2 linked regions of the Ovis aries genome follow. The protein of the gene in region 2 purifies or fractionates together with the protein of the main gene of each other region. This does not show direct contact. Links are inferred from orthologs where the notes say so. Each region holds a gene or a part of one and is shown on either strand. Other genes may lie near its edges.

Region 1 (4,325 bases), on a different chromosome or scaffold from region 2:
GTCAGCGTTCTGGGTCAGCCTCTTGAGCGTGAGCAGTGAGTTGTAGGGCTGGACCACCACATCGCTCATCTCGTCCTGGTTGGGAAACACTGAGTATGTCTGCACCAGCTTCTTGGGGTACCTAGTGGTGTTTGCGAAAGGATGGTCAAGGGCAACAGACTAGAGGCTTGGTAAACTTGGGGCTTCTAGTGACGGTCAGGATGGGGAAATTGCGGTTCGGGTCATAGGACAGCAGAGAAGGGAGACCTGACTTTTGGCAGTCTGTAACCCAAAAGGGGGGAAGGGCAGAGAGACATCTTAGGACCTAGAGTTTTAATTCCAAATCAGGCTTACTCCCTGAATCTTCATCAAAGATCAGGATTCTAGACTCTGGTTCCAACCACTAGGAGTGTGATTGGGTTCCTGGTCATTGTACCTTTCCTTCCTCAATACAGCAGGGAACGGAAGGGCCCTTTCCTGCTCCAGTGAATGGGAAGGTTTTATCTGGAGGGCCTCCCAGTCACCTGGGAAACCAAATCCTCTCTGCCCTTCAAAACAGACTTACCTGTCATTGAGCCGTTCTAAGAGGTAGGAGCCCAGGCCAGAGCCTGTTCCCCCAGCGATGGAGTGACACAGCACGAAGCCCTGCATGGGGAAGGGGCGGTCAGTATCTAGGTTTCAAGTGGCAGGATTTCCAATTTTACCCATCTCATAACTTCTTGGACTCCTATCTTCCCAAGACCTCTCCTCCACTTCCCTCCCCCACCGCCCCCCCCCCCCCCCACAGATTAGCAGACTGTTCGTTATTTCCAACAAGGCCCTGTGGCTTCTGTCCAGTGCAAAGGCTGCACGGGGAGGGTCCCACACCTAACAGATGGCTTCTAAAGGGTGCTGCCTAGCGGTCCCCTGCTGGCCGTCACCGGCATTCCTAAGATGCTCACCTCTAGGCTGTCGCTGCCATCTGCCTCCCGGTCTATGATGTCGAAAATGTCCTCGTGGATCTTCTCTCCCTGCACAGACATGGAGGGCATCAGAGTGGGGCAGGACTAAGCAACAAGACTAAGGGCAGGACTTTGGCCTCGGAATAGCCACCCTCCATTCTCCTTATAGTACCTAAAAGTCCTTTTTGGAACACAGTGGTCCTGCTTTTTGTTTGCACTAAAAGGTAGTACAGCCTGGTGGTTACGAGCAGAGTCTCTACATCCAGACTGCCTGAATGCCTATATTAGCTCTAGGTCTAGTTAGTCGGGTGCTACTTCATCTCTCTATACCTCAGTTTCCTCATCTGTACAATGAAGGCACTAATACAGGTCCACAGTGCCTTATCTAAAATTCTTGGGGCATTATGTTTCAGAGTTCAAATATTTCAGATTCTAGGAGGGCTATATGGTGTGTATAACACAAGCTAAGTAGAACATCAGTGGGGCAGGGGTCTGAGCAGTGCTAACCAAATACATTAATATTTCTTTAGTGAAAGGAATGAGAAGTGGCAGCAAGTTGAACAGAAACTATAAACTAGCTTATCTCTATTGAGATTCAGTTTTGCTGCTAAATGAGTAGTTATAAATCCTCTTTTGGTTTCAGAGTTTTCTGGATTCTGGAAACCTACAGAGACTGTGGACCTGTAGTACCTACCTCTAGGATTGTTGGAAGGTCTGGGTAAGTTAATTTATGTAAAACACTAACAATGGCCTGGCATCCGGCATGAGCCAAGTGCAGTCTCTTATGACCATTACATAGTTCGCTCAGAACCCCCTCAGTCACATCTCTCTCTCCACTCATATATTCTCCATCTGGTTTATCTTCTCTTTAGGAAGTCATAGGGCCAGTCCCCATGCAGGAGTGGAGTTCTTCTGCCAGGGAACAGCAAATGACCTGGGAGAATCCACTGGCCCAGTTGTTGCCAGCTCCTCCTCCGTGCTCCGACAGGTAGATGTTCTCTGGGTTGTAGAGCTTGGCATAAGGGGAGTTGAGAATGGAGTGGATCACCCTAGGCTCCAGGTCCAGCAGCACTGCCCTCGGGATGTAGTGCTCATCGTCTGCCTGTAAAGGGGAGTTTAGGATGGGCCCAATCAGCTCGGGCCTGCCCAGTCCTCCAGTCCTCCCAACCCTGATCCTGCCTCCCTCCCTCTTCAAGCCAGCCTCCCTGGCTCCTCTGCCTAGTGGGCTTCCCAGTACCAAGCCACTACCCTTCCCTTCAGAACCCCTGGGCCACTACCGGCCCTGGCTAAGTCCCTGGGGGCACCTGGTAGAAAAAGACGTCCTTGCGATCAGTGCCCTCGGTGGCGAACTCCTCCACGATGCCCTCGGGGCTGATACCATGCTCGGCGCACAGCTGTTTCCAGAACTCGAACCCAACTGACGGGAGGAACGAGGGCGGGAAGAAAGAGGATATCTGGGTCTGGGCAGGTTCCAACTAGGAGCTGGGGGACTCAATGCCTGGGTCCAGCGATAGGAAGTCAAGCTTCGGGAGTCTCTCGTGTCAGAGGAAAGGGCAGTATATCAGCGACTGGGCAGAGGAGGGCCCCTTGGGGTTGAGCAGCTGGATACTGGGTCAGGCATGTCCCACCTTTCGGAGAACTACGATTCTGGGAAGGGCAGATGGAGTTCAGGATCCCACAGCGAGATCCCGTAGAACCTAAGAAACCCTGGCTAGTGGAGGGGCCGGAAGTTCGCTCACTCTGATTGCCGCACTGGCCCAACTGTAGGGTGATGATCTCCCTCGGCATCTCTCCTCTGGCAGCTGCGTTGCAGCCGCTCTGTACAGCAAAGCTACCGCTCTCGCCACAGAAAAGCTGCCTCTCCCGCCAGCAAAGCCGCCGCTCGCTAGCCCGTTACACTGCGCATACGCCAAAACTTGCCCCGCCCCCAAACTTCCTCTGTTCCAATGAAAACTGAGTTCTGGCGAGGGCACTTCCTTACTCGTTCGGCTTCAGCCCTGCAGACTGCGCGTGCGCAGCTCCTGATTGGGGCGCCGGGGACGTAATTTTGACGCAGTGTTCTTCTTTCTGGGATGTACGCGACCAAGGGCCTTCGCGCAGGCGCGTGTGCAGGGATGCAGCCTCCCTCGCCGTTTCGCGCATCTGCGCAGTTGAGATTATTGTGATTGTCGGGCCGTGGCCCCGGATGTTGTGGCTGCCGGGGGGAGATGGCGGAGGCAGAGGGGGTGGCCGTGGCCCCAGGCCCAGCCTCCGGTCAGACTTTCAAGGGTCGCCGCCCTATGTCAGGCTCCTGGGAGCGAGACCAGCAGGTTGAGGCGGCGCAGCGGGCCCTGGTGGAGGTGCTGGGGCCTTACGAGCCTCTGCTGAGCCGAGTGCAGGCAGCCCTGGTGTGGGAGCGGCCAGCCAGGAGCGCCCTGTGGTGCCTGGGGCTGAACGCGGCTTTCTGGTGAGAGAACTGGATCCTCGGAAACCCTCCGAGGCGCGAATTCGTCAGGTTTCTCTAAGGCTCTATCTCTCGCCTCCTTTGTTTTCTTCGCTGCACTGGCTCCTACCTGTACCTGCCTAATTTTGTCTCACCTCCTTCCACTCTATCCCGCCTGAGGCTTTGGCACCGCAGTTCTTAGGGCCTTCCAGTTGTTCCCCCTGCTTTACGTGCACCCTCGCCCCGCACATCTGGCAGGAGCTTCTAGTAACATCTTGCGCCGCTCGCAGTGAGCGAAGGCGCCTCATTTTAGCCAAGAGAAGCTGTGTTCCGTTAAGGCCATCACCTCCCTTCTCTTGTCTGCTCAACAGCCTCGAGATCTTAGTACTTATTGTTGGAGTAGATGAGTAAGGCGTGAGATCTTGAAAAGGGATCCATAGGTGTAACAAGGAAACATGCTTAAACGACCTGAATTAGCATGTTAGATAGACATCTTTTTGCCCACTCAGGAAGTTTGCGAAGTCTGGGAGTCCTTGAGAGCCTCCATAACTGCAACTTGAAAGAAAATTACAAGCTTTTGAAGACAGTTATGAAATAGTAATTGTGGGATTTCACCCATTTCAAAGCCACTTAAGACGACTTCTCCGTGTTCCAAGGAATTAGAGAAGCATCCTTCACCACGGTTTATATGCAAGGAAATTGAGGGTGTCTAATAGTGTTTTGTTTTTCTGAGCTGGGATAGTAGGGCTAAAAATATGCTTAAAGAATCTGTCTGTGTCATCCTGTGTGAAAATGGAACTGCTGCTTCCCTGAGTTGTCATCTCCTGAAGTGAACTTAGGTCTTCATAGAATCTGCCAAGCAGAGTTTGGATTTATTCATAACTAGGGAAGTATTACTGATCAGATTCCAAGGGAACTCAAGTGTAGGGGGGGCTTCTACAGCTGAATGAAAAATAAAGCAGTTCTGGATAAGCCTGAAACAT
Region 2 (3,527 bases):
TGATGCGAATTTGAAAAAAGGTGGTCCTCTGGGTCCACGCTGGCAACACAGCCCATCTGGCCTCAGCAGTTCTTGGCCTCTGGACTACTCTTCCCTTTCCTTCAAGGATGTGCACACACTAACAGCTCCATCAGCCGCCTACAGAACCCCAGAAGTATGACAGCCTTTCTTCATCCCTTTAAGTCAAGCTAGCCTGATTTTGTACTGAGATGTTCACTGTATCTGAATCACACAACCTAATCTCTTCACCAAAAGGTTATCTAGCTACACTCTCAGCCTTCTTTCCAGAGATCTATCTGGGTAGGCTGAGAGCTTCCCAAAGTGAGCGCTGGTTTCTTTTTACTTATTCCTTCCTCAATTTCCTATTCCCCTTACATTTTACCATAAGCAGCAAGGAGAAACCAGGCCCTACTTTCCATGCTTTGGAAATTTCCTTAGCTAAATACCCAAGTTATTGCTTACAAGTTTTATTTTCCTTCCAACAGCAGAATATAATTCAGCTGAGTGCTCTTTATACCGAGGATGGCCTTTCCTCCAGGGTCCAACACCCGAGGTTGTTCATTTCTGTCTGAGACCTCAGACAGGCACCTTTCACGTTCATATTTCTAACAAGATTCTATTCATAATGATAGACATATTCTCTGAGATGACTGATGCTCTTTTCGTTCTGAGCTCTCACTAGAATCACCTTTAATGTCTATCATTCTACCAAATCTTTAAGGCCATCCAGGCTTTTATTATCAAGCACCCTAAAACTTTCCAACCTCTACCTATTACCCAATTCCAAAGTCACATCCACATTTTTATGTATTTCTTATAGCAGCACTCCACTTTCCAATAGTAAACCTAAATTAGATTTCTAGGGTTGCAATAAACATGTACCATCAATTGGGTAGCTTACAACACAAAATTATTCTCTAATAGTTCTGGAGGCAGAAGTCCTCTGAAGGCTCTAGCAGAGTATCCTTCCTTGCCTCTTACCTTCTGGTGGCTGCCAACAATCCTTGGCCTTCTTTGTCTTGTAAACACCATCACTCCAATCTCTGTCTCTGTCATCACAGAGCATCCCCTCTGTGTCCTCACAGGGTATGTGCTTTGTATATCTGTGTCCAAATTTCTCTTGTCTTTATAAGGACACTGGTCATTAACCCATTATGATCTCATGGCAATTTGATTATACCTACAGATACACTATTTCCAAACATGGTATATTCACAGGTGTTGCACACTTAAGCATATCTTTGGGGGAGGGGGGCAGAAACAATATCACCCCCAACACAAGCAGAATTCTAAACATAATCAGAGATAATTTTACAAAAAGACAACATGGTTCAGATAGAGTATTTTGTGATCTGAACATACACTACTAAGATCCCGGCCTTCAGAATTTCTCCTGATGACAGATGTTAGTTTAACCTTGTTTAGAATTATTCACATAAAATTTCAGCATTAATTGTTTTCTAAACAAAAGCATTTTCATTCAGAGTGAGTGAACATATGAATCTCTACCTTTAAGGCTTCTGTGGCCTTGCGAAGTTCCTTAATAACTGATGATAAAGCTTCTGGGTTAATTCCTTGTTCACAAAGCCGCACACATATAGACAGAGTTTCCATATCTAATCCAGTATTCAAAATTCTTGAAATCTCAAGTAGGACTGGAAAAAGACAAGAAAATTTTAAGAATAAAATCTTGTAACATTTAAAAAATGCACGTGAATACCTCTGTTTTTAATTCATATAATGTTGTATAACACCAAAGAACAGCACAGCATTCCTAGATTTGGAAACCGGGATGTAATACTGGAAAACCGGCATGTAATACTGCCCTTACTTAGCTCTAGAAACTTACAAATAAATTACAACCTCCCTCCACATAACTTTTCTATATCTTGGTTTATATTCTACTACTCATTTAGTATCTATCTAAAATTCACATACCATAGTCCAGATTATTCCGAACATTTTCCCACTTTTTAGCATTCTCTTACAATGTAATTTAATCATTCATGTAATATTCCATTTTAAGGAAATAACATATATTACTTAACTGCTCTATTTTGTTATGTGGGTCTCCTGTTTCCCTGATGAAAATAATACCATGACAAATATCTGTACATAGGAACTTAATTTTATCAGAATAAATTCCTAGAAGTGGAACTGCTTAGTCAGTAATATACCATTTGGATTTTGATATGAGCTGTATGAAAATAACACTTTATTTTGGGATGAACAGACAAATGAACAATACTAAGCCACCTTTAATTTCAGTCTAAGTCCTTTTGAAAACTTTCATAATATTCATGATTTTTGTGATATGGGCCTGTTCCACTTTTTCATACTTCATATTCATTTTCATCTTGAGAAGTTCAATTTGTTTAAAAAAAAAAAAAACCTCTCTTCCATTCCTATACTTAACCTGAACACATGGAGTACCGTTCTAATGTTTTCACCTGCTAATCCTAACATCTGTATCAACTGAGGATCAGTTTTTTAACAGATTAAAATTTTCTTATCATCAGTCACATTCTTCTGTTTTTGCATACCTAATAATTTCTGACTGGATGCCAGACATTGTGAATTTTACTGTGCTGGGTGTTTGACAGTTTTGTATTTCTATACATATTCTCAAGCTTTGTCATGAGATATAGTTATCTAGAAACAGTTTGATCCTTTGGTATCTTTTTGGGGTACTTTCCTTGCACACTGATCAATGCCATGCTGAATACCTGAGGGAGAACATTCCATGGACCTCCAGAATTCTCTCTAGGTGCAGGCTCTTTCCTCTCAGGTACTCTGTCTTAAAAACTCTGCCTGCCTTGGTCTCCCTGGACCCTAAACTCCTGCTCAACTCAAGGTATCTGCTGGGTTTTGCCTCAGTTACTCCCATCCTGCCACTGCACTGCAGCCTTGAAGGCAAAATCTTAAAAAAAAAAAAAAAAGAATATCTGATCTTGTCATATTCCTGTTTTAAATGTAGTAGCTTCCAAGAGTTCTCAAATCTTCAATAGGGCCTTAGTATATTCTCCTGTCTGGCTCATCTCACATTTCACAACCATAATTACACTGTCTTTACATGAGCCTTTCAGTCTCATTTACCAAGTTCTTCCCAGTGTAAGACCTGGGGAGAAGGAGTCCAGATAAGTTATTGCAATTATGCAGAGACTGGTAGGTGGCATGGACAGGAGAGATTAATACAAAAGGTCAAGTCTGAGATGAGTGAAGAACTGAAGAAGCTTAGTGAAGGATAGAGGTAGGGGAGACCTCACATGAGAAAGCAAGGGGATTGATGGTGGGAGCATGGGCTATATGTTTGCTTCACCAACACTGCCTTGCACACTGTGGACTCTCTTTACTTCTTTTGCTAGTTTACAACTTGATACAAGTCAACTGTGTATTGAAAATATTTGGGAAAAAAAATTCTTGGCAGGCAGATTCTTTACCACTCAGTCACCTGAGAAGCCCCTATACAAGAGGATGAATGTGGGTTATATGCAAACACTTAGCCATTTTATATGACAGACTTGAGC

Evidence for each region. The genes of interacting proteins can lie anywhere in the genome.
Region 1: the proteins of MZT1 (region 2) and TUBG1 purify together in Homo sapiens (affinity purification with mass spectrometry; 4 studies listed by BioGRID and IntAct, counting the BioPlex papers as one, with this or other methods). This does not show direct contact. The link is inferred for Ovis aries from reciprocal best matches to the Homo sapiens genes MZT1 and TUBG1.

The regions. Positions count from the first base shown.
Region 1 is NC_056064.1:42,410,118-42,414,442, reverse strand, and holds the start of TUBG1 (tubulin gamma-1 chain), read right to left. Parts: upstream 2,808-4,325; 5' UTR 2,709-2,807; coding exon 2,660-2,708; intron 2,338-2,659; coding exon 2,225-2,337; intron 2,023-2,224; coding exon 1,855-2,022; intron 990-1,854; coding exon 921-989; intron 625-920; coding exon 545-624; intron 122-544; coding exon 1-121. Other genes in the region: RETREG3 (reticulophagy regulator 3), read left to right, coding at 3,128-3,366. UniProt on the Homo sapiens protein: Tubulin is the major constituent of microtubules, protein filaments consisting of alpha- and beta-tubulin heterodimers. Gamma-tubulin is a key component of the gamma-tubulin ring complex (gTuRC) which mediates microtubule nucleation.
Region 2 is NC_056063.1:48,080,233-48,083,759, forward strand, and holds part of MZT1 (mitotic-spindle organizing protein 1), read right to left. Parts: intron 1,656-3,527; coding exon 1,510-1,655; intron 1-1,509. UniProt on the Homo sapiens protein: Required for the recruitment and the assembly of the gamma-tubulin ring complex (gTuRC) at the centrosome.